Linked DNA regions of Caenorhabditis elegans. The protein of the gene in region 1 interacts with the protein of each later gene in a pairwise test. Each region holds a gene or a part of one and is shown in the gene's direction. Other genes may lie near its edges.

Region 1 (6,774 bases):
TTAAGCATACCTAAATTGATTTTTCTATTATACTAGTTAATTGACTTCTACAGTTGATAGACCAATGCACCATGTTCTCAAAAAAATTTCAATTGCTAAGACTTGATGATTATCAAAAGTTTAGTAGTGGTGTTCCAAAATTAGACAATTCTAGTTTAAAGGTACATACATATTCCTTTACAGTTAGAGTTATTTTACAGTTATTTTATTTTTAGTTACAGTTAGAGTTTACAGTTTTTTAATGCTTGCCTAACATATCAATTTTTCTATGTTTCTATTACATATAGAAAAATTGATATGTAGGCAAGCATTAAGAAAACTGTAAACTCTAACTGTAACTAAAAACAAAATAACTGTAAAATAACTCTAACTGTAAAGGAATATGTATGTACCTTTAAACTAGAATTGTCTAATTTTGGAACACCACTACTAAACTTTTGATAATCCTCAAGTCTTAGCAATTGAAATTTTTTAGACTAATAGACTAGTATCTACGTTTCTATTACACATAGATACTAGTCTAGTTATGCATTTTTGAAAAGTTGATATACCAATGCACCATGTTCAATGATTGATTGGTCAGGTTTAAAAAAGTACTACGAACTGTAGTTTAAAGGTTCATGTTGTTTCCTCAGCTAGGCGTATTTGAAGCATATGTAGTTCAATGTATGTGTCTATTCAGAAAACGTACATGTCTTTTTCTAGTTAATTAACTGATTTAGTTGGTTGATCAATGCACCATGTCTAAAAACTGAATGGTTAGCTTCGTATCCCCCAATAATGTGTATAAGCCTCTAAACTACAACGGCAAGCTCAAAAATTACATTCTGCAAAAAAAAACTAATCAACTTTTTTCCAGTTTATGAGTTTTTGAGCTGAAGTGTTTTGTGCCAATCACCAAACAAGACTTGTCCATTTTTTGTTCTGAAATCGATGTTTTAGACTGTATTTCAAGCTTATATGATACACTGTCTTGGGAAAATAGGTTATTGAACCATCTGACTTTGGTTTGACAAAAGCATAAAAGTGACAAAGTCTAATACCTCACAGTTTTGAAACTTTCGTTCAAGACTGTAATAATTATTAATTAGAAATAGCTAACTAGAACCGATATACATAGGTACTTAATTCTATATATCTATATACCTATATAATTATATATATACCGAATTCTATAACACACCATGGAATTTTACCATATATTCCCTTTTTAGTACGTTTATATCTCGGTTGTCTTTGATCATATTTCAAAAATTCAAAATTCAAACGACACAATTTTTTTCAAATCTATCGTTATGCTTTGGTTTTTGAAGGTATCAAAAATATTTTTAAACCGTTGAAATATGAGCCGACAAAGTCGATTGACGGGGGGCCATACTAATAGGGAATGTACGGTATATATAATTTATGTACATATATGTATTATAACGTATGATAACATTCATACACTTCCTTTTTTTGACTAACTCAATTGCATGGAATTTGAATTTAAGACTACACACATTTTCCAAACAATTACTATTTTTCTTCTCTCATATCTCTAATTACTCCGATACTATTCAAAAATTCAATTCCCCATCCCCCCAGAAAACCCCAAAATTACTCCAAATTCCACGCATCCCAAATTCAATTTCCTTTACATGACCCCTTTTCCCCATTCTCCTACCCTTCTGCCTACCAATATGTCGTCAAATTCAATGTCTGCGTACCCGATATATGCGTATGTATTGAATGGAATAACACACCATTTGACGACATTTTCCCCGTTTAAACTAACAACTTTTCAAGGTTGTTTATTGGATTTTGCAGGGTTTTGTATGGGAAAAGTTCAGGATTTTCCTATAAAATCAATATTTCTTTGGAATTTATAATTGTTTAAGTACTGTGATAACTACTTAAATAGAACTTGTTTTATTTGAGTTTGTTAAAATTTAATTTGTTCATAATGTAACCGCTTTAAACGGGGCTTTTTTACTATTATTAAATTTAAAAGTTGACCTATTATAACTTTTTCTCAATAAGAAGTTTCAATTTTCATACTAATTACTACTTCTATACAGTTTTTTTCGATGTTACTTTAAAAAATTGAAAACTTGTCCTTATAAATTAGAATTTTCTGGTTATTCTTATTATTTCTGTTGAAATTGAACTTTAAAACGTTTTCAATTGTTCTTTGAGTTAAAATATTAATTTTTATAACAAAATTTAAAAAAAAAACCGCAGTCTTCAAAAAGCATAAGAAACAAACTGAACTTCATTGCTTTTTCCGCTTCTATTTGTATATACGATTAGCCTCTATTTACCCTGTGATTTTTGATTATTTTCTTTTTGTATATAACAACTTTTATATTCCAGAATGTCAGAGGACCCATCATGGTACAAGACCTCCATGTCAAGTACGTCTTCTTGTATTGAGGAGGAACATGAGCCTGTCGATCAGGATGAGGAAGAGGTTAGTATTTTTGTTTGTTTCTAAAAAAAAAATTAAAGCTTTATACCAAATTCTAACAATTTTTTTGTTGGATATAGCAATATAATGATGTTTTTCAAGTAGTGTCGGAAAATTAAAAAGTTTAGAAAATGAACGTTACCGCTGTAAGCATGTATTTTAATACTGTTGTGACGTCATAAATGTATTTAAATAAGGTAGCTGTTATACCGTCATCACGTACAATTTTAAGAATTTATTTGAGCTTTCACACTACAATATTTCGATACGTTTTCAAAATCAAAGCTATAACTAACTGTAACGCTATGTCCTTTGTTATACGTTACAACGTTTTATTACACACTATAATATAGATTTAGCCTGATTTCAAATGTTATAAATTATACGTTATCAACAAGATTAAAAGGTTAAGGTTATAGTATCATATATTAAAAAAACGTTAAAATTTTAATTGAACGATCATATTAAAACAACGTTTTTACATGTGTAACGAATTATAACGTTAGTTTTTAAAATAAAGGTTATAAAGTATCGTGTAATATTTTTAAAAAAAGTTAAAACGTAACGTTAAGTTAAGGCTATACATAGTATATTTTTCGTAATAAGGTATAACGTTTTAAAGGTGGGGATATTGTCTAAGTACACTTATTATGATCCAAAACGACCAAATATCATAATATAACACAATTTTAGATTTTTCATAATTTCCGGCCTAAGTTTTGGCATATTGCCAAAACTTTGAAAAATCAGAGCTTTTGAAAAAAAGTCCAAAGGTATGCCGCATGTTTCGACCCCTACAATGTTTTAATACGAATAATTAAAACAAGATTACAGAATTAAAAATGTAGAAAAACAATTTTTTTTTGGTCGACTTCCAAAATTATGAGTGGCAAAAACTCAGTAATTGTCACCACTTTTTGACAATAAATAAAAAATTTTCAAAAATTTTTTGAAAAGTTTTATTATGATATTAGATCATTTTGGGACTTTTGGTTTTTAACAACTTCCCCACTGGCACTACTCCACCTTTAAGATGTATGTTTTAACGGTATAACGTATAGGGTTAAAAGCAACTTTAAATTAAGGTTTTTACATAGTTGAACGATTTTGTCCATTTTTGTCGCGATGCTTGTTCCACTAGCAAAAACTGAACATGCTCACACTTTCTTTGAAAACCGCGAAAAATTAATGCCAAAAGATAGAAAACCATTCAAAACGCGTTTACTACCCCTGAAACAAAACGTCTAATAATATGAGAGTCAGGTCAAAAATAAAAGAGACACTTTTCTCATTCTCCTCCCATCCACTTTTTTCTCGTTTTTCAACATAGTGTAAATGAGAAATGTGTGTGTATGAAAAAGAAAAAGAGCCTCTTCTTCTTCTTCTTTCTTCTTCCACACAACTTCCCGAGGGACCCCCTTTTCCCAGTTTTAACCAGACATTGATATCATGCCCTTCTTAGAAGAGAGAGAGAGAGAGAAGACTCTTTTTGTTTCTATTCAACTCGTGTGTCGCTTATTTGACTTTTGATGTCTACTGGTAGCCTAGTTATGAGAAAAATTACAATAGATTTTAGAATTCTTAGGCTGTATGGGTACTGTAATTTATCACCTATAGGAAAAATTGATAGCATTACATATATGGTTTTAAATTACTCATAATTTGGGGTAGATCAAAAAAGAGAAACTTTTTAAATTGGTATCTAACAAATGCTATATCTATATAGTTGATTTATTATTTTCCAAGAAGTTATGAAAAATTAGTCTTTCACCATTTTTGATTCGGCAAAGTTTAGCGGTAATTTACATTCATGAACAACAGTTGCCAAAAATGTTTTTCTGCATCTTATAGTGAATTTTCATATTATTTTATAAGTTTCAGGAATAACAATTTAAAAATTTGTATGTATAGGCAAATACTGTTTGTGGTTTTAGTTTCACCGTTATAAAATAAGTAGTCGTTTTCTTAATATAAAAAATTGGATTTTTTAGGAAATTGATAATAATGGTACGGTTTCTATGTAGTAGCTGCGGTCCAAAACTTTTGACCAGTTTAAAAAGTTAAGCTTACAATTAGCAAATGCTTTTTCTATACTTTGGTTTAGTTGCAACATAATTAACAAAACTAACTGTTTTAAATCTAAAATTACGGCAATTTCTGTGCAGTTTTTCTAAAACCTAAAAATCACCTATTTTTGATTGTTTATAATTAAGTAGCAAGAAAGTGTCCTAGCCAAAAAATAGGAAATTTCTTGCTCTTTCAGACCAGTATACTAACGTCTCTGTACCTACGATATTCATTTCAAAAATCTTTTTCTAAAACCTAAAAATCACCTAATCACCTATATTCCAGATGTACAACCCGAGTGGATGCACGTGGCAACTTCTCTCCGTCTCCTTACACAGAGTATGTTTCTTTTTGTTTATATTTTAAACATTGTCTAATTCCTCCCTGACCATAAACAAAACCCGTTTCCCATTTTTTTTCTCCTACTCGGGTATAAATGATTTATCGTCCATGTATGCAAGGGACAATTGTGTATAGGTATAGGGGTATACATTCCGTTTAGGCAATCTGTATAGAAATTTCCAGGTAAACTCGTTACTTGATACAGGTCGAATGTCAATTACCTGTCAACCTATCTATTTAGCACAGTTACAAATATATGTACATAGAAGAACTATTTTCTGATAGTGAGTCGAAAATTTTGTTATTTATACCTTACTTGAATTATGTGTTGAGTTTCTAAAAAAAACTCCCCTAACTCGGTTAAATTTCGGATTTTCATAAAAATTATCTACTAAATTCTGAGCTTAATTAAAAATTTATTATAATTTCCTAAACTAGGGTGCCAAGCTGTCCTCAGCACACTCTTAACCATGCGAATCCAGTTTAGAAGCCTGCGTCTAAAATCCCGCAATTCTCGGAGATCAAACCGAAATGGGACATTGTGACACCACGGGACCTCTGAAATTGTAAATAAGTACCTTATAACCTAATTTATCATGTAATAACCTAGTTGATTTTAAGACTTACCTAGTATCTGTCCTAGTAGATCACTAAAACTGTAAAGGACTTTAGTTGAAACTTTTCATTGTATCTAGAAGATCATATCGCCATTTGACCTAATTATCTGATTTTGCATGGTTAAGAGCGTGCTGACGTCACAATTTTTTTGGAAAAATATTCCCGCATTTTTCGTAGATCAAATTGTAATAAGACAGCCTGGCACCACGTGTGTGTATCTAGAATATTTCCTTGATCTCAAAAGCCCTTCTACTCCTCCCTTAGTACTTTCTCTCCATAGCTCCTAGAATCCTCGAGAGTTGGTTGGTCACATTATTAAGACATTGAATATCTCTCTCCTGTTCTCTCTATCTTTGTGATATGGGACATCGAGAAAGAGTTGGCCATTGGCCAGTAGCAGCTGCCACCTTCTCTCTCTCCTCCCGTGTGCAAGCTTTATCCTTCCCGTCCCCGGGAGAAAGAGAGAGAGAGAGAGAGAGTATTCTTACTACACACATCACTCTCACTCATCACGACCACCATTCCGTCCATTCGTTCACACAACTTCAGCTTCTTTCTCCTCACGTATCGATTTATAGTGATTTATCACCTTTTAGCCGTCGAAATTTCGGATTTCTAGAGGTTTTGTGTGTAGATTTTGCTTTTTCTTGAATTCAGAGGGGCATTTATATCAAGTGTCTTCAAATTCTTAGGAACTCTATGAACTGCCACCTGTTTTGCAAAAATCTACACTTTCCTGAAATTTTTGGACTTACAAGGGAAGTATTTCAACGTAATCCCGTACTCCTGAATAAAATCTATGTCATTTAGAAATTTACTTTCTAAATATACTCCTACAAAATATTTAGCGGCAGAGGAGCACTTTGAACTGGAAAAAATCGTCGTTCTGAAAACTTTTCGGTGCATTTTTTTTCGGCTTCATATGTGAATTTTTGAAGATTTTTCAATGATTTCTAGAATGCTTACGAGCCGGAAAACATTTCGAATGTTTTTTTTTAATTTTCGAAAAAATCTAAACTTTTGCCATGGATCAAAAAATTTCAGATTTTTTCAAAACTTTTTAAAATACCAAAACAAATTCTGATTGTTTGCCGGCCTTTGATTATTTATTATTATTTTGCATACAAATCATAAAAATTTAAATTTTTTTTGCAAAAATTCACATTTGGAGCCATTTTACGGACCTCGAAAGTTGGGGAAAAATGCACTGGAACGTTTTCAGAGCGACTTTTTCCAGTTCAAACTGCTCCTCTGTCGCTAAATTTTTTTGTAGGGGCCTATTTAGAAGGCCTACTTCC
Region 2 (9,281 bases), on another chromosome or scaffold:
GTCCTCTCCTCGAGCAGAAGATTATCGATGTGAATGGTGTCACTGCAGCGATGTCTCTGACACAAGAATTCACGGTCCACGCTCAATTGTTAGTAATTTTTATTTGAATTATCTGTGAGATAATTATTTTTCTTTCAGCGTTTTGATGGAGAGAAACGTTCCTGTTTTTGTTGTTCGGCAACTGGCTTCAACTGTTCGTGAGCATCCGAGAACGACGAATTACCCATCCAGAAGTCTCAATTTGTCTTACGAAGTTTCCGGAGCTTTGGCAAGAACCAATCCAAACGGTCAATTATCAGCTGCTGATAATAACATTGTCTTAATTAACGATTCCATCAGTTTGGATCACAATCTGCCCGACACCGGAGAATATCCAACAATTCTGAACGAGTCATCATTCGAAAGACAGCTCTTGTTCGACAATCAAAGTATCGCGGATAGTGCTTCAACTTCCGGAGATTTCATTTTAACGGAATCAGTTTATGAATCATCCAGTGCTGCTTCAACTTGTACAGTCATCGACAGAAACGACGCGAGATTTTCTGCGTTAAATGATGACTCCAATATTCTCATCTCCGAATCCTGGCTTGATTCGACAAATCAGCATTCAGAAACAACTATGGATACTCCTGAGATCATAACTGAGTCTTTCTACGAATCCACTCATGATCAAGCTTCTAGTCGTGCATCAACTGTGGACAGACTAGCTTCAGATGTTGATAAAATTAGCATTGGTCGTCCTGATTATTCACCTCCACCAAGACGTCGAATATTCGGATACAGTACTCCCGGTGATAGAGTAAGACCGAGAAACAGTTATGGCTCGAGTTCCAGTGGATCATTAAACGGACGCCCAAAACGTCGTGCTCCATATGGATTCAGGCAGATCAGGAATATCACGCCGCATAATGTGCTACTGAGAGATATTATCTATAATAATATGTAAGTTCAAAATCGTTATAAATTTTCGTGTCTTGATTATTCATATTTTCAGAAACAATCGAAAAATGTTTGTTGAACAGAATAAAAATGCCATTCTCAAATGCTGGAATCGTTTACCGCTGGCGCAAGTGACACGAACGAAGAAAATCTTCTGTACAGTAATCGCCGTCGAAAGCATCAAATTTCCACCATCATTTGATGATACTTGCATCAAAGGACTCGTACGTTTCGCTGTTGTATATGATGATATGAACGTCAAGAACACGTCTGTCGTTGTTCCGATCGGGTATATATTAATGTAAAGTTTTCTCAAAGTTAATACTAAAAATTTTAGAGGAAATTTCAATAATCTGCCGAAATCGTTCCAGTTAGGGGATGCGTATAAAGTTTTCCACTTTTCATCCTACAAAGATGTAAGTTTGCTTTTCTAACTTGCAATGGACCTTCTGATTCACTGATGATAGTTGAATTTCTGATTAATACGAAGCTTTTTGTCCTAATTGTTGCGTTTTTCAGCTCATTTGTCGGATCGGAGGATTTTCGCACGGCCTCAATGGAGAATTGAGTCGCGTGGCTCCAGTGAATTGTATTTCCAACCCCGAAACAGTGAATGGTCGGTACGGACAAAGATATTTGAGATGTACTGTAAATGCAGCGAGACCAGCGATTTCAGAAATCGAAAGTGATGTTTTCGAATTGTGGACAGTCCATGGTCTTCCTGGATTCATCATTGTGGAAAAAGTCCCACTCTTGGTCAGTTTATTTTCTTTTTTGATGTTGACTTTTTTATCATTCCAGATGAACCATTTGAATAAAGAACCAATTAATCCAGATGTGCACCATCAACATATGTATACTTGCATTATTGAGCCCCTGGCTGGAGTGAGTTTACGTTTAGCTATTTCCATAGAAACACTGCAAAAATGAGATTTCATATTTCACAAACCTCTTTTTTCGGAATTTATCTCTGCCGTATCTCTCTATATGTTCTGGGTTTATATCATTTACTTTTTGTTTCAGGGCCCTGTGGAAGCTTCAATTCTCAAAGATGTTAAAGAAGGTGAAGACATTTGCATATTCTGGAGACTTGTCGTCGAGTTTTCCGATACTGTTCCACTTCCCAGATTAAAGGAAAAAACTGACAAGGTTGTGCCACAGATAAGAACAGAACCGGTGCAAAGTGGCACTTTTTCTGTGGACGACTACGGATGTTGGGAAACTTTACGAATCAATTCGATTTTGGCTCAAGAGAAGCTTGACAGAATGCGGGCCGTTGGCGATCCAAGAGTTAAGATGATTGACGGACCAGATTTGAGACCAGAAATCGAGGTTCGAAAGGTCGATGTGAATACGAGACGAGAGAAAATGTTCGCAGCGTTTGATGCACTTCTGGAGAAGTTGCCACAACTTCACAGCGAAGGAATTCTCGGATACGTCCTGGAGGATGATTTACGAGTAAAGATTAAAAAATTGACGCCAATGAACGATAATAATCATAAATTTACATTCACATTCAGGTGAGTTCGAAATAAAACTTTTAGATGTATTTATCATATTATCCTGATTCTTTCAGAAACGGCTCGCTGGAAATCGGTGTGAATTACCTCACGGATATGCTCACTAGAGGAAAAATATACAAAGTGATGAATGAGATGAAAAAACATGTTCCTCTGCTTAAGGTGTTGTCAGATTGCATCGGTCTCAATACAACTTATATCAAAAAAACTGATGCAGTGAAGATGATGGTTAGTTCTAAATTTCAGTACTGTTCACGCATAATTATCTATTTATTTTCAGTTGCATTACATGTACCGAAACGAGCTACACACGTATTTGTGAGAAATCGACATAATTTTGATAGTTTCTTTTTTTATCCGCTTTCAATTGCCAGAAAACCCTTTATTTTTTCTTTTTTTTTCACTTTCTTCTTCAATAAAACCCATTTTGTTCTTAATTTGTCTTGTTCGACATTTACCAAATTGGAAATTGGGAGTTATTTAAAACCATGTAGTTTTTCAGTCTCAGAATTAATTTCCTCCAATTAAACTAATTTTAGTCACCATTTCCGTCGTTGTAGGCCTGAAATGTTTATCTCGGTTACTGTAGTTTTTCAAGGTGCATGCATTCCCACTCGAAGGTCTCACAGCGACCCGCCCGTGCAACCTTTTGTTTTTGATTCCAACGAACTCTTATCCTACATTTATTTCGTTGAATTTCGTTCTTTTTTGTTAAGAAAATAGCGAAATTGAGATATATTTTACTTGAAAATTATTCCAGACGATTTTTGACTTCTTTGAAACATTTTTAATTCAGATTTACGAGTTTCTGTGACTTGCCGATGATTATCACCACAAAACAATGCATTTTTATAAATACGGTGTTTTGATTAATCAGCTCAGCGATTCGTTTGAGGTATTTTCTTTAATTATTTTTAATTAGTTCGTAAAATCATTATTTTCAGTGGAGAGTCGCATTCTTGGATGGATCTGTCAGTGATCATTGTTGCATCACCGTTCCTTCGGAAAAGTTTAACTTTCCGCCGACTCCAGGAGCAACTGTTAAAGCCAAATTTGAACACGCGAACAGCTTTTTGCCATCGGTATCATATTAATTATGAGTAACTTTCTCAATTTAAAATGTTCAGCTTGTCGCACAATGTGGCAGTTTTGAATGGTTTCGTGATGTAACGGTGGTGAATTCCAAAGTTGTGGTATGAAAATCGAATTATTTTACCATTTTACAATCAACTTGTTTCAGATCTTCGCTATTGTGCACTTCTCAAATGAATGTCTAGAAAGAGATCCATTTAAAATAAATGGAATGGATTACAGCATTATCGAGAACGAGAATACGGACTTTCAAAAGATTGTACTTCCAACTCGTGTGCTTCAAACCTCAATCACAAGTAGATCAAATTTGCAAAACACCGACACTCCTTTTATTTATCGAATCGGCGTATGCTGGGAGCCAATAAGTTTTGAAAACGGCGTGACTGTCAATTGGAGATATTATGCTGATTTTCCAATTACTCCCATTTTCGAGCTCTACTACAGAGAAACCGTACGTTGAGCTAAGAGCCTTAAAGCAAAATATACAACCGATTTTTCAGACTTTGCCTTATATCGCCGAGTCAATGGTATATGGAGTTTTGGAAGGAGTCGTTATCGCTGAAAATGATCACGGAGCACTTTTTTGGACACCGAAAATGGGATGCGCCATTTTACCAAGCACGTCTCTTGACACTCCAATGCCTTCCCTCGGAAGTGTTCATGTGATTCTCGTAAAGTGAGTAATTGGTAAGTATGTTAATATCATAAAATCATTTTCTTCAGACGATGTATCCCCGAAAATTCGTTTGGTTTCTCTTGCTCATACGAGTTACTCTCCAGTTTTCGTTCAACGGAATGGCCGAATCTGAAAGTCATCACTGATCAGATCACCAGAAAAGTATACGTGAGTTACCCAGCATTCGTTTCGTCAAACAATTGAAATATTTCAGATTGAAGCGAATGCAAGCTGCCGCAGTATGATGGAGAATCAAGACTTTCCAAGTATGAATGTTCCACATATCGGGAAAGTGTTCAGAGGTTTACAACAGTACCGTGATAAACTTTCTGCCGGTCATCTCTACGATTTTCGAATGGAATTTCAGAAAGAAGAAGGCTCCTTCGTGCCAACGATTGTGGATCTATGCCTGGTACATACTTTGAAAAAATAATATAAAGGACTCCAAGATAAATGAAAGCAACTAAATCTTGATACTGCTCCTTGTTGTGTGATTTTTAATTGCTTTAATTTCAGGAAGAGGACGAGATGGTTGATTGTCGAGTCGTCTACATTTCCAATGAAACGAGCACTTATTTTGCAGTTCTGGATCCGTCAAGTAACTCGTTTGATCGCTTCAAACAGAGCATCGATTACATTGCAATCCCATTCCGAGTATTGTTTTGTGCTAATGGTGTACATGTGAAGAATGAGGAATTGTTACTGAATTCGTACAAGGTCAGAGTTAGGTAAGGTAAAAACTGAGATATCCATTATTAATAATTGAATTTCCAGAGTTCCGAGAAACCGTCACGACGTTGTGAATGCCATTCACGTTGAACACGTTATTCAAAGTCCAAAAGATCCAGCATATTTTATAACGAATGGCTCCGTATGGGTATGGAATATTATTCAACTTTTAATAACAACATTTTTCTTTTCAGCTTCGAACTACGGTTAAATTTCAAAACGCCTCCAGATACGAGCTTCTCTGTCCTCTCCTCGAGCAGAAGATTATCGATGTGAATGGTGTCACTGCAGCGATGTCTCTGACACAAGAATTCACGGTCCACGCTCAATTGTTAGTAATTTTTATTTGAATTATCTGTGAGATAATTATTTTTCTTTCAGCGTTTTGATGGAGAGAAACGTTCCTGTTTTTGTTGTTCGGCAACTGGCTTCAACTGTTCGTGAGCATCCGAGAACGACGAATTACCCATCCAGAAGTCTCAATTTGTCTTACGAAGTTTCCGGAGCTTTGGCAAGAACCAATCCAAACGGTCAATTATCAGCTGCTGATAATAACATTGTCTTAATTAACGATTCCATCAGTTTGGATCACAATCTGCCCGACACCGGAGAATATCCAACAATTCTGAACGAGTCATCATTCGAAAGACAGCTCTTGTTCGACAATCAAAGTATCGCGGATAGTGCTTCAACTTCCGGAGATTTCATTTTAACGGAATCAGTTTATGAATCATCCAGTGCTGCTTCAACTTGTACAGTCATCGACAGAAACGACGCGAGATTTTCTGCGTTAAATGATGACTCCAATATTCTCATCTCCGAATCCTGGCTTGATTCGACAAATCAGCATTCAGAAACAACTATGGATACTCCTGAGATCATAACTGAGTCTTTCTACGAATCCACTCATGATCAAGCTTCTAGTCGTGCATCAACTGTGGACAGACTAGCTTCAGATGTTGATAAAATTAGCATTGGTCGTCCTGATTATTCACCTCCACCAAGACGTCGAATATTCGGATACAGTACTCCCGGTGATAGAGTAAGACCGAGAAACAGTTATGGCTCGAGTTCCAGTGGATCATTAAACGGACGCCCAAAACGTCGTGCTCCATATGGATTCAGGCAGATCAGGAATATCACGCCGCATAATGTGCTACTGAGAGATATTATCTATAATAATATGTAAGTTCAAAATCGTTATAAATTTTCGTGTCTTGATTATTCATATTTTCAGAAACAATCGAAAAATGTTTGTTGAACAGAATAAAAATGCCATTCTCAAATGCTGGAATCGTTTACCGCTGGCGCAAGTGACACGAACAACGAAACTTTCAGTTACAGTAATCGCCGTCGAAAGCATTAAATTTCCACCATCGTTTGATGAGACTTGCATCAAAGGACTCGTACGTTTCGTTGCTCTTGGTGTTGGTGTTGATATTAACCTCAGAAACATGTCTATCGTCGTTCCGATCGGGTATTTTCAACCTTAAATGTGCCAAACTAATGCCAAAGAATTTCAGAGGAAAGTTCAATAATTTGCCAAAGTCGTTCCAGTTGGGAGAAACGTACAGAGTTTATCATTTTTCATCCAAAGTTGATGTAAGTTTGCTTCCTTGACTGACTAACTTACTTAGTCACTAGTAGACTAATCATTTCGAATGTTTTCATAAAATTTTAAATCGAAAGAAGTTTTTTTATTTTATATTGTTTTCCCGTGTTTCAGCGCATTTGTCGGCTCGGCGGATTCTCTTTTGGTCTGAAAGGAGGAATGCGAAACGAGGAACCACCTGATCGGAATAATTGGTTTTCCGACCCCCAAACTGTAAATGGTCGCGACGGACAAAGTTATTTGCGATGCACTGTAAATGCAGAAAGACCAGCGAATGCAGAAATCGAGAGTGACTTTTTTGAATTGTGGTCTACCACAGCTCTTCCTGGTTTCATTATTGTGGAAAAAGTACCACAATTGGTGAGTTTTTTTATTGTTATGAAGTTTTTGTTTCATTTAAATTACATTTTAGATGAAACATTTGAACGAAGAACTACTTGATCCAGATGTGCATTCTCGGTTTACCTATTCTTGTGTTATTGAGCCGCTGGCTGGAGTGAGTTTTATTTTTTTTCTTTTTCGCGAACATTTACATTTTCCTTCAGGGTCCAGTGGAAGCATCAATTCTTAAGGATTTGAAGTACGATGAGGAGTTTTGCATCTTCTGGAGACTTGTCGTAGAGTTCTCCGATACTGTTCCATTGCCCAGATTGATTATAAAATCTAAAATCTATGTGCCACCGCCACCTGTCGTCCCGGTTTATGTTACCCCATTCACTGTAAACGACTTTGGATGCTGGGAAACACATCGTATCAATTCGATTCTGCATCAGGCGAGAATTGACAGACTTCGTGCTGCAGGCCATATGAGAGTCAAAATGCTTGATGGACCAGATATGAAACCAGAAATCGAAATCCGAAAAGTCGATGTGAATACGAGACGAGAGAAAATGTTCACAGCGTTTGATGCACTTCTGGAGAAGTTGCCACAACTTCACAGCGAAGGAATTCTCGAATACGTCCTGGAGGATGATTTGCGAGAAAAGATCGAATATTTGTTGCCAATGACCGATGATAATCATAAATTCCAGTTCAGAGCAAGGTAATAACGAAATATCGTTTATCAAATTGTTCATGATTTTTTTTCCAGAAACGACTCGCTTACAATTGGTCTGAACTACCTCACGGATATGCTGACCAAAGGGAAAGTATATAAGATGTTGTACGAGAAACAAGAATATGTTCCTCTGCTTAAGGTGTTGTCAGATTGCATCGGTCTCAATACAACTTATATCAAAAAAACTGATGCAGTGACCATGATGGTTAGTTTGTAAATTTAAGTACTATTCACACACAATTATCTATTTTCAGCTGCAATTCATGTACCGAAACGAGCTACACACGTATATGTGAGAGATCGACATAATTTTCATACACGTTCTCTATTTTTATCCGCTCCCAATTTTCAAAAAATTTGGTGTATTATTTTGTTCCAATTATAATAAAATTATCTACGCTTAAACTGTTTTATTTCTTACTTGACATTCCCTTTAATTTCAAAGTTCAATAATTTAAACTTTCACGTCCTTAGGCCTAACACTTCTTCTTGTATAGTTTTAATTTATTTCTTGATTAGAATGGATTTTCCTTTCGAATATGTGGAACGAGCGATCACTTATCCAAGTTTTGATAGGAAGACAGTTGTAAGTTTATTGATTTTCTCATTTTAAGAGAGAATACTGAAAATGTTTCAGTGTAAAGCAGCTCTAAATAAAAGAAAAAAGAAAACGGATTTAAAAGGTCCAAAATGTTTGGAATCTGAGGAAGATGAGTTGGATGGTGATTTGCCTGAAATAGTTATTGATGAAAAGGAAAAAGCTTTGCTGAAAGAAATTCAAAAATTCGAATTGGAAGTTAAAAAAGGAACAACAAATAAATATTCATCATCATCAGAGTTTTCTTCTTCAAATTCGGATGCTTGTGATTCAGATGGTGAAACTTCGGATACTGATGCTGTTGAAGCTATGTTCAAAAATGAAAATGATGCTACAGATATTGCCTGGAAACGATTGAAGTGGGTTTTTATCGACACTGAGAACCGAGCCCGTCCGTCGGGGTATAGCTCAGTGGTAGAGCGCTCCCTTAGCATGGGAGAGGGCTGGGGTTCAATTCCCCATACCTCCAGAATCTTTTTATTCTTTTTTTGTAGCTGTAAATACCAATTTACAGAATAATGCGCCAATGTTGTTGTTCGGGGTCGGATTGTTTTTCGGACAAGGATCTCGATGCAGTATCAGCGTCGTCGTCTTCCCATCTTATTTCCGAAGAGGATGGCGAGGTCGGAGAGAAGAAGGAATCTGAACAGCCAACGGATATGGTAGAGCCATCATCTGCACCAACTACTGAAGAGACAGAGACGGAGAATGAAGAGGAAGATGATAAAGAGAAGACTGATAAAGAGAAATTAGACGCAGAGAAAGAGAAAGCATTGGCTGAAAAACGTCTTGAAAGAGAGCAAAAACTTTATAAAGATTTGAAATCTTCGTCTGATGACACGTCATCATCTATTGATGATAAAATGAATTTTGACGATGAGATTGAATATTTGGAAGAGATGTTGGATAACATAGAGAAACAGAAAGACAGAAAAGGGTCGAAAGATGAAACTGAAGACACTGATGCTACGGGAGATGAAGAGGATAGCATGTTTGAAGGTATTAAAGGAATTTCAAAAGATGCGTAATAGTTATTATGAAAAAAGGTCTCAGAGCGC
Region 3 (7,195 bases), about 13 Mb from region 1:
TGGAGCAGCTTCAGACGCGTTTTCACTGAAAAATGTGAATTCCAATGTGGAAGATAGTCTGAAAAAGCTCATGGAAGTCACAAAAATCGCCCTCGAGAACAATATTCGAGTACGTGGCTACGTTTCAGTCGTCGTTGGATGCCCGTATCAGGGAGCTGTACAGCCGGAAATGGTGGCCAGAGTCGCCGAGAAGCTTCTAGAATCTGGGTGTTATGAGGTCTCGCTGGGCGACACTATTGGCGTTGGAACAGTGAAAACTGTGTCGAAAATGCTGGATACGGTGCTGAAAAGTGTGCCAGGTAGCGGATTTTTTTAAATATTTTATATTAAAATTTCGATTTTTCGAGTGAAAAACTACAAAAAAAGTAGTTTCCCGCAGTTTTCCCGGCTTTTTTCGCATGAAAACCAATCGATTTCAGTCAAATAACTCACGAAACGATAAAAATCTCAATTTTCGTTGCGAGACCCACAATCTGTGGAGAAATTGACCGAATATCGTGATAAAAAAATTCAAAATTTTTTTCTAGACTATATGATTTTTTTTTGAAAATTGAAAAATCTCAGTTTTTACATAATTATATTTGAATTTTCGCCTATTGGATTTGACCGATGGAGCGCGCTTGCATTATTTTAATCAATTAATTTTATTTATTCTCATTATTCGACTGATTTTCTTCTTTTCTGTTTTTTTTTTGTTGGAAAATGAAAGAAATAAAAAAGACAGATGCAAAATTTTTGTTAAAAAATAACTGAAAATGCCTTAAACTGTAATTTTTTTTGAATTCTGACGACGACAAACCTGAAATTAGTATATTTCACAGTTTTACAAAATATATTTTTATTTATAAAACTGTAAAATATACTAATTTCAGGCTTGCCGTCGTCAGAATTCAAAAAAAATACAGTTTTAGGCATTTTCAGTTACTTTTTAACAAACATTTTGCATATGTCTTTTTTATTTCTTTCATTTTCCAACAAAAAAAAACAGAAGAAATGAAGAAATTCAGTCGAATAATGAGAATAAATAAAATTAATTAATTCCAATAATGCAAGCGCGCTCCATCGGTCAAATCCGATTGGCGGTAATTCAAATAGGAATTAGGGGAAAACTGAGATTTTTTCAATTATCAAAAAAAAATCTTATAAAATCTAGAAAAAATTTTTTGAATTTTTTTATCATGATATTCGGTCAATTTCCCCACAGATTGTGGGTCTCGCAGCGAAAATTGAGATTTTTATCGTTTTTTGAGTTATTTCAATGAAAAATCGATTGATTTTCAGGCGAAAAAAGTCGGGAAAACTGTGAAAAAAAATTATTTTCGAAAGAAAAAAAAATTTCAAAAAATCACCACCATTTCAGCCGAAAAACTCGCAGTTCATTTCCACGACACATACGGTCAAGCTCTCGCAAATGTGCTCATTTCCATCGAAAAAGGCATCCGAAGTGCGGATTCAAGTATCGCAGGGCTCGGTGGTTGCCCATATGCGAAAGGAGCAACTGGAAATCTTGCAACTGAAGATTTATTGTATTTTTTGAAAGGAAACGGTTTTGAAACTGGTGTCAATTTGGACAAAGTTGTCGAAACTGCAAAATGGTTTAATGAAGCCGCCGGATATGATAAATGGTCGAGAGTTGGAGCTGCAATGATGGCTAAAAAGAGCAAAAGCTGCTGCTGAAAATGTGTGCTGTAAAAAATTTAAAAAAATTTTTAAAAATTCGTGTAAAAATTACCCCGGTTGTTTAGGAAATAATAAAGAGATTAGAGACTTTTTTCAGATTTTTATTTTCTTGAGTTTTGCCGGTTTTCAGCCGATTTCTATCTTTTTTTTCTCATTTTTTGTGATTTTTTTTCGCTAGTTTTCCCCTCAATTTCTCGATTTTTTCACGATTTTTTGAAAATTTTCGGAAAATTGAATTGTTTGCAAAAAAAAAAATTCAAAAACCGCATTTTTCTCAGAATTTTTCTGGGATTTTGTACAAATTTTTGAATTATTTCTCAAAAAAAAGCAGGTTTTTACCGATTTTTTTGGTTTTTTCCCCAAAATTTTCCGATTTTTTCCGAGTTTTGCCGGTTTTCAGCCGAATTCTACTCTCGATTTTTTTACGATTTTTTGGAAATTTTCGGAAAATTATTTGAAAAAAAATCAAAAAACCGCATTTTTTTTTCTGAATTTTCTGGGATTTTGTACGAAATTTTGAAATTTTTCTCGAAAAAAGCAAGTTATTCCCCAAAATTTTCTGATTTTCCCCCAAAAATTTAGATTTTTCCCGAGTTTTCCCCAGTTCTCAGCTGATTTCTATATTTTTTTCTCAATTTTTGTGATTTTTTGTTGCTAGTTTTCCCTTCAATTCCTCGAGTTTTTCACGATTTTTTGGAGATTTTCGAAAAATTGTTTGAAAAAAATCAAGAAACCACATTTTTCTCTGGATTTTCTCGAAATTTGCACAAAATTTTTGAATTTTTTCGTAAAAAAAAACTGTTTTCCCCAAAAATTTCAGATTTGTTTTTGATTTTTTTCGAGATTTTCCCCTGATTTCAAAGTTTTTTCCTGAATTTTTCGAATATTTCCTGAAAAATCGGCTATTTCTAACTTTTTAAATAATTTTTTTTGAATTTCTGACTTTTTAAATCCTTTTTTTTTTGCCATTTTTTCCCATCTAAAATTCTAAATTATTCAAAATTTTACAGAATGTCAGAAGTAATCGACGAAAGTATCTTAAATACAGAAGCTTCAGATGATCCAATACCTCCATTAAATGATGATCAGATTGCTGAGCTTTTGGGTGAAGATGGAGAAATTATGGAGATAACTGAGCAGAAAGGTGAGATTTTTTGAGTAAAACCTTGAATTTTGCACTAAAAATTTGCAATTTTCGCTAAAAATTACCTTAAAACTCGAAAATTGGAATTTCTAGCTGAGAAAATGGCCAAAAATGTCGAAAAATGCCTCCGAAACCTGTGAAAAAAAAAACCACCAAAAAGGTTTCTAGGCCACCAAAAAGATTTCTAGGCCACCAAAAATGTTTCTAGGCCACCAAAAATGTTTCTAGGCCACCAAAAATGTTTCTAGGCCACCAAAAATGTTTCTAGGCCACCAAAAATGTTTCTAGGCCACCAAACAGGTTTCAATGCCACCAAAAATGTTTCTAGGCCACCAAAAATGTTTCTAGGCCCCCAAAAAATTTTTCTAGGCCACCAAAAAGGTTTCTAGGCCACCAAAAATGTTTCTAGGCCACCAAAAAGGTTTCTAGGCCACCAAACAGGTTTCAATGCCACCAAAAAGGTTTCTAGGCCACCAACCAGGTTTCAATGCCACCAAAAATGTTTCTAGGCCACCAAAAAGGTTTCTAGGCCACCAAAAATGTTTCTAGGCCACCAAAAATGTTTCTAGGCCACCAAAAAGGTTTCTAGGCCACCAAACAGGTTTCAATGCCACCAAAAATGTTTCTAGGCCACCAAACAGGTTTCAATGCCACCAAAAAGGTTTCTAGGCCACCAAAAAGGTTTCTAGGCCACCAAAAATGTTTCTAGGCCACCAAAAAGGTTTCTAGGCCACCAAACAGGTTTCAATGCCACCAAAAATGTTTCTAGGCCACCAAACAGGTTTCAATGCCACCAAAAATGTTTCTAGGCCACCAAACAGGTTTCAATGCCACCAAAAATGTTTCTAGGCCACCAAAAAGGTTTCTAGGCCACCAAAAATGTTTCTAGGCCACCAAAAATGTTTCTAGGCCACCAAAAAGGTTTCTAGGCCACCAAACAGGTTTCAATGCCACCAAAAATGTTTCTAGGCCACCAAACAGGTTTCAATGCCACCAAAAATGTTTCTAGGCCACCAAAAATGTTTCTAGGCCCCCAAAAAATTTTTCTAGGCCACCAAAAAGGTTTCTAGGCCACCAAAAATGTTTCTAGGCCACCAAAAAGGTTTCTAGGCCACCAAACAGGTTTCAATGCCACCAAAAAGGTTTCTAGGCCACCAACCAGGTTTCAATGCCACCAAAAATGTTTCTAGGCCACCAAAAAGGTTTCTAGGCCACCAAAAATGTTTCTAGGCCACCAAAAATGTTTCTAGGCCACCAAAAAGGTTTCTAGGCCACCAAAAAGGTTTCAAGGCCACCAAAAAGGTTTCAATGCCACCAAAAATGTTTCTAGGCCACCAAACAGGTTTCAATGCCACCAAAAAGGTTTCTAGGCCACCAAAAATGTTTCTAGACCACCAAAAAGGTTTCTAGGCCACCAAACAGGTTTCAATGCCACCAAAAAGGTTTCTAGGCCACCAAACAGGTTTCAATGCCACCAAAAATGTTTCTAGGCCACCAAAAAGGTTTCTAGGCCACCAAAAATGTTTCTAGGCCACCAAAAATGTTTCTAGGCCACCAAAAAGGTTTCTAGGCCACCAAACAGGTTTCAATGCCACCAAAAATGTTTCTAGGCCACCAAACAGGTTTCAATGCCCCCAAAAAATTTTTCTAGGCCACCAAAAAGGTTTCTAGGCCATCAAAAATGTTTCTAGACCACCAAAAAGGTTTCTAGGCCACCAAAAATGTTTCTAGACCACCAAAAAGGTTTCTAGGCCACCAAAAATGTTTCTAGGCCACCAAAAAGGTTTCTAGGCCACCAAAAATGTTTCTAGGCCACCAAAAAGGTTTCTAGGCCACCAAACAGGTTTCAATGCCACCAAAAAGGTTTCTAGGCCACCAACCAGGTTTCAATGCCACCAAAAATGTTTCTAGGCCACCAAAAAGGTTTCTAGGCCACCAAAAATGTTTCTAGGCCACCAAAAATGTTTCTAGGCCACCAAAAAGGTTTCTAGGCCACCAAAAAGGTTTCAAGGCCACCAAAAAGGTTTCAATGCCACCAAAAATGTTTCTAGGCCACCAAACAGGTTTCAATGCCACCAAAAAGGTTTCTAGGCCACCAAACAGGTTTCAATGCCACCAAAAAGGTTTCTAGACCACCAAAAAGGTTTCTAGGCCACCAAACAGGTTTCAATGCCACCAAAAAGGTTTCTAGGCCACCAAACAGGTTTCAATGCCACCAAAAATGTTTCTAGGCCACCAAAAAGGTTTCTAGGCCACCAAAAATGTTTCTAGGCCACCAAAAATGTTTCTAGGCCACCAAAAAGGTTTCTAGGCCACCAAACAGGTTTCAATGCCACCAAAAATGTTTCTAGGCCACCAAACAGGTTTCAATGCCCCCAAAAAATTTTTCTAGGCCACCAAAAAGGTTTCTAGGCCACCAAAAATGTTTCTAGACCACCAAAAAGGTTTCTAGGCCACCAAAAATGTTTCTAGACCACCAAAAAGGTTTCTAGGCCACCAAAAATGTTTCTAGGCCACCAAAAAGGTTTCTAGGCCACCAAACAGGTTTCAATGCCACCAAAAATGTTTCTAGGCCACCAAAAATGTTTCTAGGCCCCCAAAAAATTTTTCTAGGCCACCAAAAAGGTTTCAATGCCACCAAAAATGTTTCTAGGCCACCAAAAAGGTTTCTAGGCCACCAAAAATGTTTCTAGGCCACCAAAAATGTTTCTAGGCCACCAAAAAGGTTTCTAGGCCACCAAACAGGTTTCAATGCCACCAAAAATGTTTCTAGGCCACCAAACAGGTTTCAATGCCACCAAAAAGGTTTCTAGGCCACCAAAAATGTTTCTAGACCACCAAAAAGGTTTCTAGGCCACCAAACAGGTTTCAATGCCACCAAAAAGGTTTCTAGGCCACCAAACAGGTTTCAATGCCACCAAAAATGTTTCTAGGCCACCAAAAAGGTTTCTAGGCCACCAAAAATGTTTCTAGGCCACCAAAAATGTTTCTAGGCCACCAAAAAGGTTTCTAGGCCACCAAACAGGTTTCAATGCCACCAAAAATGTTTCTAGGCCACCAAACAGGTTTCAATGCCACCAAAAATGTTTCTAGGCCACCAAAAATGTTTCTAGGCCCCCAAAAAATTTTTCTAGGCCACCAAAAAGGTTTCTAGGCCACCAAAAATGTTTCTAGACCACCAAAAAGGTTTCTAGGCCACCAAAAATGTTTCTAGACCACCAAAAAGGTTTCTAGGCCACCAAAAATGTTTCTAGGCCACCAAAAAGGTTTCTAGGCCACCAAAAATGCTTCTAGGCCACCAAAAATGTTTCTACGCCACCAAAAGCCGCCTCAAGCCCGAAAAATTTGAATTTCCCGCTCAAAAAATCTAAAATTTTCCGATTTTCAGACGAATCAGATGATGTGGTGATGCTGGACGACGATGATGACGACACTCCGGAACCGATTCTCGTGATTGATATGGATGAGGATGAGGATGTTACTACAGATGGTCCTGAATCTCAGGAAGAGCTGGCTGCAGATGCTCCGGCTCCAGGAGCTCCAGAAGCTTCAGCTCCAGCTCAAGAAGCCTCAGAAGCTTCAGCTCCGGATCAAGAAGCTCCAGAAGTTCAGGATGTTCCGGATTCTTCGGGAGCTCCAGATGCTTCAGCTCAGGCTTCAGAGGCTTCTGATGCTTCAGCTCCAGAAGTTCCAGGATCTACAGAAGCTCAGGATGCTCAGGATGTTCCGGATTCTTTGGGAGCTTCAGATGCTTCAGCTCAAGAAATTCCAGAAGCTCCAGAAGCCCCAGAAGCTCCAGAAATCGCCGCTGAAATCGACGAAGAAGTGCTGCTCGCCGAGCAAAATGGAGTTTTGGACGAAGGATTTGATGAGACTGACGATATTATCATAGAAGAAGAAGCTGTAGAAGAAGCTGAAGCCGTGGAGCCACCAATTAACACTGAAAATCAGGAAAACGCGCTGGAAATGCTCGAAGAGCGCCTCAAGAAGAATGAAGAAAAGGAAATTGTGGAGAAAAGTGATGTGAAGCCAGAGGATGAAGATATTATACATATGGAGACGGATTCAGTTGAAAGTATGGGCTTTTTTAGCTGGAAAACAGGAAAAAAGAGCAAAAAATTGATACATTTCCAGCTTAACCAATCTTTTTTTGAGTTGTAAAGCCTGAAAATTGAGATTTTTGTACCAACTTTTATGATAAAGCTGAAAAAAAAATTAATTTTTTGACGAATTTTTAGCGGAAACCCTGAAAACATGTTTTGTCTGAAAAATACAGAAAATCGTCACTTTTTACAATAAATTCGAGATTTTTAGCTCAAAAATACAACATTATAGTGCAAAAATCTCAGAAAAAGCCAAAAATTTCATTCA
Region 4 (7,154 bases), on another chromosome or scaffold:
CACAATAATGGCCAAAATTTCCGCGCCAGAATGATATTAAAAGTACTTTCGGTTTAGAATTTTTTTTCGGAATTTTTTCAGAAACTTGGAGTACGGAAAACTTCAAAATGATACATACTTTGAAGTATAAATTCGCGAAATTGCTGAAATTTATATTGTGGTGGTAGGACCCATCAAGAAAATAGATTATTATCCAGAAGCGAAATTTGGCGATTTTTGTCCCAAAAATACGGTACCCGGTTTTGACACGACAAATTCTTAGAGTACTGTAAGTTTAAAGTTTTTCGATAAAATTTTTTTAATTTATTACGGGAACAATAAATCATGAGAATGCGTACTTGGTGCATTTTATTTGACGCGCGATATCTCTTAGCGAAAACTACAGTAAGAGCTTAAATATCTATTGTTATTTGAGTTCTTACTGTAGTTTTCGCTAAGAGATGTCGCGCGTCAAATAAAATGCACCAAGTACGCATTCTCATGATTTATTGTTCCCGTAATATCAAAAATTCAATGATTACACTTCAATTTTAACAGATCGTGAAAAGAAAAAATTCCCGCAATTTTTGTAGATCAAACCGTAATGGGACAGCCTGATACCACGCGATTTTCATAGTTTTTCGTTAAAAAAATATTTAATTTATATTTAATTGTTTAAAATTCAATGAAAATTCCGGCGCAATGAAAAATTTGAAACTACAGTACTCTTTAAAGGCACACACATTTGTTTGCAAATTTAACAAAAATTTTTCATCTCGAGACCAGGGCGTAATATGCCTTTCATCAACATCACATGATTTCTCAATTATTATTTGAAAAAAATCGAAAAAAAAACAACAAACCCAGTCAGCGGTTGAGTATACGTTTTTCCATTGCGTTCCTCGACGAAATAAATTCCTTTCGAATCTCCACGTGGCACTAGGAATCCCAATAAAATCGAAAATTCGAAGAGCATGTAATCTGAGAAGAAGAAGAGCACAAACTAGTAGGGACTCTCCGGCACTGACTCTTTGAATTTGCTGAAAGGATTTGGCGATGGTGGGGGAGAATCAGAGAAAAATGATGAGAGAAGGGCAGTACACACACACACACACACACACACACACACACACACATGTGTCTTTCCGATTTCCCCAGACAATTTCTGTCCAGGCCTGCAAGCAGGCGCTCGAAACATTTTTCTTTTTTTTTTTGAAAAAGAAGAAGATGGAAAAATTGAAACAGCAAAACAAAGGAAATGTGGTCGCTGTGAGTGGAGAAATAGAGAACATGGCGGAAAAAAACCAATTTGTCATAAGTATGGTTAATCATTGAAGGCGGCATGTATTACGGGATCACAAAATTCTGAAAATGCGTATTGCACAACATATTTGACGCGCAAAATATCTCGAAGCGAAAAAGAAAACTACAGTAATTCTAATGACTACTGTAGCGCTTCTGTCGATTTACGGTCTCTAAAAATAGTTAAATAAATTCAATTCGATTTTATTTAATTCAATTCGAAAATCGAGCCCGTAAATCGACACAAGCGCTACAGTAGTCATTAGAATTACTGTAGTTTTCGCTACGAGATATTTTGCGCGTCAAATATGTTACACAATACGCATTCTAGAATATTCTCAGAAATTTTTGTTCCTGTAATAGTACCAGGTTCATTCTGTTTGAATTCCTTCCGAAATGAAAATTCCTCGACCAATCAGCGACTTCGAACTCCACGCACTCTTCTGATTGGTAAAAAAATGGGGGCGGAGCAAATCGCTGATTGGTCTTCCAGTTCTCGTTTTGTTAGAAATTAAATTCAAATCGGGAGGTCATTCAAAATTAAAAAAAAACAATCATTTAAATTTCAGGCTATTTTGGATATTTTACAGCAAAATCTCAACTCTTGATATTACCCAGACGCGAAATTTCGCGATTTTCGCGATTTTTTTTCGTTATGTGCGCCTTTAAGGATTACTGTGATTTCGAACTCTCGTTGTTGCGTAATTCTCACTGATGTTCAATAGTTTTTCAAAACGAATTTAATTACTTATCGAAAAAAAACTCAATTTTGACTAAAAAAAACACTAAAATTTTGGAAAATCGGCAAAAAATCCGATACAACAAAAGTTTGAAATTACAGTACTTCTTAAAGGCGCACACATTTTTGCATTTAACAAAACTTGTCGTGTCGAAACAGAACTTTTTGAATAGAGGTTGCGCCTTTAAGGGATTACGGTAATTTTTGACATTCACTTTGAATTTTTATTTTTCTTTCTTTTCTTCTTTCGATTCATATAAAAAAGATTTTCGAAAATTTTTTTTCCCAATTTAAAAAATTTTATTTTTAAAATCTATCATTTTTGCTCTCCATTCAGTATTTTCCCCGCGAAATTTCCCATTGCTTCCAATAAATAAGACAATTAGCCATTCTGTGCGGGGACATTGCAAAAACGCGCGCGCGCATTGCATGTAGGCGGAGCTAACGATTTTTCATTTTTCTTTGCGCGAGCGACAATCAACATTTCTTTGTTTTTTGAGCTCCATTCTGTTTCTTTTTCAGGCATTTTTAAGAATAAACAATTTAAAATATTTATAAATTGAATTTATCACATTTTCCTTTTATTTGTAAAGAAAAATGCTCCTAAAACGTCAAATGCCGAAACTTGTATTTATTATTATCATTGAAAGCGTTTATTGTACTTACGTGTTCTATTTTCTAGCAATTTTTCAATTATTAAGTATTTTAAAGCAAACATTTTTCAGATGTCTCGAGACTCGGGTCGAACCAACAATCGATCTCATCAGGGAAGACGATCGCCTGTTCGGCAAACGGGAAGATCGCCAGTTCGACGACAAGGGAAATCACCAATTCGACGACATGGAAGATCACCCGCACGACGACAAGAAATTTCTCCCATTCGAAAAACAAGAAGATCACCTGCCAATCAACTTTCAAATTATGAAATCGCCCAACAGAAAGTAAGAGAACTACAAGAAGAACTACATCAGAAAAATATTGGTTTAGTAGAGGAAGCGAAGGTATTAACATTTCTCATTCGAACATTTCTTATTTTAAAACAAATTACAGCTCCTTGAACAAAATTATGGATTAACCGTCGATTTGGCTCAAGGAAGCTATTCTTCGTCGCGTGGTTCAGGTGGCGCTTCGGTAACACCACGATCTAGGGATCGATATGAGACGTAAGTTTAATTCGTAGATAGAGCAATTTTTAACAATATATATTTTTCAGCTCGTCACCAATTCGCATCGATTCCACGGAGCCATTTCGAGGCCCTGAATATATCAATGGAGAGTTTTCTCAAATAAACTATGCACCACACGAACCGTTCCCGCAGAACGTGGATCCATACAACGCTTATGCTGGTCTACCGGATTATAATTCCTACGATCGTCATCAACCACGAATGTACCACGAAGATGTGGAAGTTCGCGTCGATGAAATGCCCATGTGGCCGATGAACGATTCTCCTCCACCTGGAATGCAACAACAATCTCCTGAGCGCCAACGCGCTTTTTCGCCAACACCGGCTTGGCGTCATCAAGAGAACGTGGTCGTGGATCCGATGCCAGTGTTTCCAATGCATGGAGAAGACGAAGAGGATCCTGCAAAACCACCTCAGGACAGTCGCGACGAGAAAGTTCGTATTCAAATGATGATGATTGCTCGACAAGCTGAATTGGCTGAAAAAGAACGTCAGAAGGCTCGGTTTGTAGCACCGGAAGAACCTCAGCGCACAAGATTAAGATCCGATACGAGCGCAGCAGATCGAGAAAGAGAGAATCAGCGAAAAGCTCGTCATGAAATCGGTAAAATTCGTGTTCAAGTTTTGGATGATATGCGGAAAAAGGAGAAGGAGAAAGATATCAAGAAAAGAGAGATGGAACGAAAAAAAAGACACGCGTTGCAGGAGAAAAAAGAAGAAGCTGAAGCTGCAAAAAGGAGAGAAGCTCGGAAAAAGCATGAGGATTATTCGAAACAGGCAGAATGTGACGAATTCTTCCTGAAATATTTGAATCCAGCGATCGGAAAGATTGAATACGAAGTTACCAAGATTGAAGGAAAAAGTACTGTCATCGACCCAATTTTTTTTGTATTTTGTAGTTAACTGTAGCATAAGTAGCATAATTTCTCATTTATCCCAGTTTTAATTTCCCGTGAAATCTCTGTAAGTAGTCACTGATTTCCAATCAATTTAGGTCCCACCGAATATGTAGCAAAATGTTATGCAGTGAATATTCCTAAAGAGTTGCTTTATGGATCGAAATTCGATGAAATAAAAGGAGAATGCTACAAAGGAGCATTCGTCAACTACGTGGACAAGCTTGTATCGCTTGGAGTCATCGATGAGCACTCACGGAAGTCCATGAAACGTGTTGAGGTATTGGACAATCGGACACGCTTCACACTTTAACATTTCTATGTTTCAGAAGTTATCAAGATTCTTGGCCGAACTTGTTGAGCCATTGTGTAATGATATTGCCATTTTTGGAACTCAAATTAGCGGTAAGAACTAACCGATTTTCAGATTATTATTTCCTTGTATTGTAATACCTTTCTGATTCGATTTTTCCTAACACCTGAGCTCTAATAACGTTTAGTGTCCGATGCTCGTGATATGAGAAATGGGTTCGACACATTCGCCAAAGAGAAATGTGCCGAGTTTTGGAATACTTCGAGCAACAAGAATAAGCTGTCGGATTTCATGCGACGTCACGACAGGAAGCGGACTCGTTCTAGATCTCGCGAAACGAGATCTCGTGATCATAAAAAATCGGAAAATGGAAACAGTCGTCGTCGTGAGACCCATCGTCTTCCAGCTGCTCCATCGCCTACCAATGAAGCGTCGCTTAAACAGCTATTTGCCGCTACCGCAGGAAACGGTGTTCCCGTTGAAAATGATGCTTCAGTTGGAAATCCGATGATGTCTTTCAATCCATGCACAGCTCCAACAACGCTTCCGTCACTGATGTCAGTTCCGGTTCCACCACCACCACCACTACCACCACAACCTGCGATGATGAACAACTACATGCAGCCGTCGCCGAATTTCTACCCTCCACAGCAACAGTTCCCGTCACCAGTTATGCAAGGATTCGGTCAGTACTCGCAGCCAATGATTCATCAGCAAATGCCGCCGCCGCCTCAAGGATTCCAGCAGCAGCAGCCGTATCAGCAACAACCAATGGGTTCGGGATATGAGTACAATAATTCCCGTCGGTATCCCACTGATTCTGATTTAATGGATGAGATTTTCACATAATAATTATTATTGTAGATGATGTTCAATTTGCTAATAATATCTACTTAATGTATTAATATCCGTGTTTCGGGTAGCCTCCTCATGATATATCGCCCCCACCCCAAATATTCTGTTTCTGTGCACTACAACCGAATTTCGATCACCCCACTTTCATCATGACCGTTTTTTAATATCCAGAAATGTTAAATTTTTATAATTTCCCCTGTTTAATCATTTTCCGGCTCGATTTTTATTAGAAACTTGGATCTTTAGTTTCTTAGATTTTTGTATTAATAAATCCAAGGTCACTGTGTAATTTGTTTTCCTTGTGATTTATGTGCTAAATAATTGGTCGTTGGACAGTGTCAGGTCGAAATTGGAAAGAAATCAACGAGAAATCCTGGAATTGGAAAACAGAAAATCGTCTACAATGCTTCTGGCTGCCAATTTTTTCAGGGATGACGGCGATGATATGGAATTTGGGAATTTGCGTCGACGTTGATGGTTCAACTCGAGCAATTTATATTACTGAAGGAGTTGTTGAAATTTAGAACATTTTAAATCCATAATCGATTTTGAGGAGAGCTTTGAGAATTTTGGCCAATGAAAGGGAATAGTGGAAGAGGAACAGAGGACACATGAAAATTAGCACAATGATATTCACAATAATAATATTGTGCTCGAAGTTATGCAGATTCTCCACTTTTCGAAAGTTTTTCAGTTTTTCTAATCCAATTTCGAGTGCAATTTTATTATTTGCCAACTTCTACGACTTCCAAGGAAGCTGCATTTATGGGTCTCGCAGCGCAAAAAGATTTTTTTGAAAATTGCATTTTGTGCATATTCTGAATTTATGTTAAAAATCAACAAAACTAGTCCGCTTAAATGCATCTCATGAGGAAGTCGTAGAAGTTTGCATTAAAATATACACACGATGGGAAATTTGAATTTTTAAAAATACACAAGACACTATACAGGGGATGATGAACAATGAATGGTTATGATAAGAGGAAGTGGAGTATTTTTTCAGGTACTTTTCAACCGAATTGGAGACCTCCGACAAATGAGAGATGGAAAACTGGAATTTAGGAATTTTATTGGCTACTGGATTTACGGAACTGAAAAATTTTTATTTAGATATTTAGAATTTAAAGTTCTAATCATTTTCGACATCTAATGAATAAATCTGTAAGATTCGGCATCTTTAGCGAGCTCCTTGACTGAGATCGTGACGAGACCCAACCAGAAAACCTTCGTGTGCCTTTAAACTGGTGTTTCAAAATTTGGTAAAATTAGTATATTAAAAATTGCCTGAAAATGTGAAGCACATCAGCCGAGATATCGTACTGTCGTAAAAACGTAAAACTTCAATTTAAAGGCACACACTTACTTTCTCGGTGGGTCCCGCCACGATTTCCGCCATTTAGATTTTTTTATTGTTTCAAATTAACTCATTTGATACTCTGAAAAAGGAAAGTTCTTGAAATTTCACATGAAACATTTAGCACTTATTATGGGAATACAAAATTTTGAGAAAGAGCATTGCAAAACGTATTTGACGCGCAAAATATCTCGTAGCGAAAACTACAGTAATTCTTTAAACTACTACTGTAGCGCTTGTGTTGATTTACGGCACGATTTTCGAAGTGGTTTACAATAAATTTATTTATTGATGGAATATTAAAATAAAGCAAATAATACGAAGAAACGAAGAAAACTGGAATATCAATGTCACTATTCGAACAGAAAAAGCACTACAGTAGTCATGTAAAGGATTACTGTAGTTTTCGCTACGAGATATTTTGCGCGTCAAATATTTTGCGCAATACGCATTATTTTTCAAAATTGTGCTCCAATAATATTTTCATATTGAAAAAGTTGTCTCTGTCGGAATCACACGTCATCTTTGT

The links.
Region 2: the proteins of zoo-1 (region 1) and C28A5.1 interact in a two-hybrid assay, tested with the Caenorhabditis elegans proteins (one large-scale study listed by BioGRID).
Region 3: the proteins of zoo-1 (region 1) and lin-65 interact in a two-hybrid assay, tested with the Caenorhabditis elegans proteins (one large-scale study listed by BioGRID).
Region 4: the proteins of zoo-1 (region 1) and F39G3.3 interact in a two-hybrid assay, tested with the Caenorhabditis elegans proteins (one large-scale study listed by BioGRID).

The regions. Positions count from the first base shown.
Region 1 is NC_003279.8:14,527,176-14,533,949, forward strand, and holds the start of zoo-1 (Tight junction protein ZO-1), read left to right. Parts: upstream 1-2,353; 5' UTR 2,354-2,356; coding exon 2,357-2,452; intron 2,453-3,756; exon of another isoform or gene 3,757-3,805; intron 3,806-4,801; coding exon 4,802-4,855; intron 4,856-6,774.
Region 2 is NC_003281.10:4,428,364-4,437,644, reverse strand, and holds C28A5.1 (Ig-like domain-containing protein), read left to right. Parts: upstream 1-3,300; coding exon 3,301-3,354; intron 3,355-3,403; coding exon 3,404-3,541; intron 3,542-3,586; coding exon 3,587-3,652; intron 3,653-3,699; coding exon 3,700-4,002; intron 4,003-4,051; coding exon 4,052-4,227; intron 4,228-4,274; coding exon 4,275-4,395; intron 4,396-4,441; coding exon 4,442-4,639; intron 4,640-4,743; coding exon 4,744-4,955; intron 4,956-5,001; coding exon 5,002-5,104; intron 5,105-5,150; coding exon 5,151-5,287; intron 5,288-5,337; coding exon 5,338-6,141; intron 6,142-6,193; coding exon 6,194-6,433; intron 6,434-6,479; coding exon 6,480-6,558; intron 6,559-6,682; coding exon 6,683-6,928; intron 6,929-6,980; coding exon 6,981-7,064; intron 7,065-7,113; coding exon 7,114-7,610; intron 7,611-7,658; coding exon 7,659-7,830; intron 7,831-7,879; coding exon 7,880-7,921; 3' UTR 7,922-8,030; downstream 8,031-9,281. Other genes in the region: C28A5.2 (REJ domain-containing protein), read left to right, coding at 1-88, 139-942, 995-1,228, 1,277-1,355, 1,459-1,695, 1,741-1,824, 1,963-2,459, 2,516-2,687 and 1 more; C28A5.6 (Protein kinase domain-containing protein), read left to right, coding at 8,146-8,211, 8,263-8,582, 8,738-9,222.
Region 3 is NC_003279.8:1,752,639-1,759,833, forward strand, and holds the start of lin-65 (uncharacterized protein), read left to right. Parts: upstream 1-2,690; 5' UTR 2,691-2,691; coding exon 2,692-2,824; intron 2,825-6,212; coding exon 6,213-6,899; intron 6,900-7,195. Other genes in the region: Y71G12B.10 (hydroxymethylglutaryl-CoA lyase), read left to right, coding at 1-299, 1,361-1,677.
Region 4 is NC_003283.11:4,729,166-4,736,319, forward strand, and holds F39G3.3 (Histone H3-K79 methyltransferase), read left to right. Parts: upstream 1-2,745; coding exon 2,746-3,021; intron 3,022-3,070; coding exon 3,071-3,183; intron 3,184-3,233; coding exon 3,234-4,069; intron 4,070-4,201; coding exon 4,202-4,383; intron 4,384-4,432; coding exon 4,433-4,508; intron 4,509-4,603; coding exon 4,604-5,265; 3' UTR 5,266-5,558; downstream 5,559-7,154. Other genes in the region: tig-2 (TGF-beta family profile domain-containing protein), read right to left, coding at 843-955.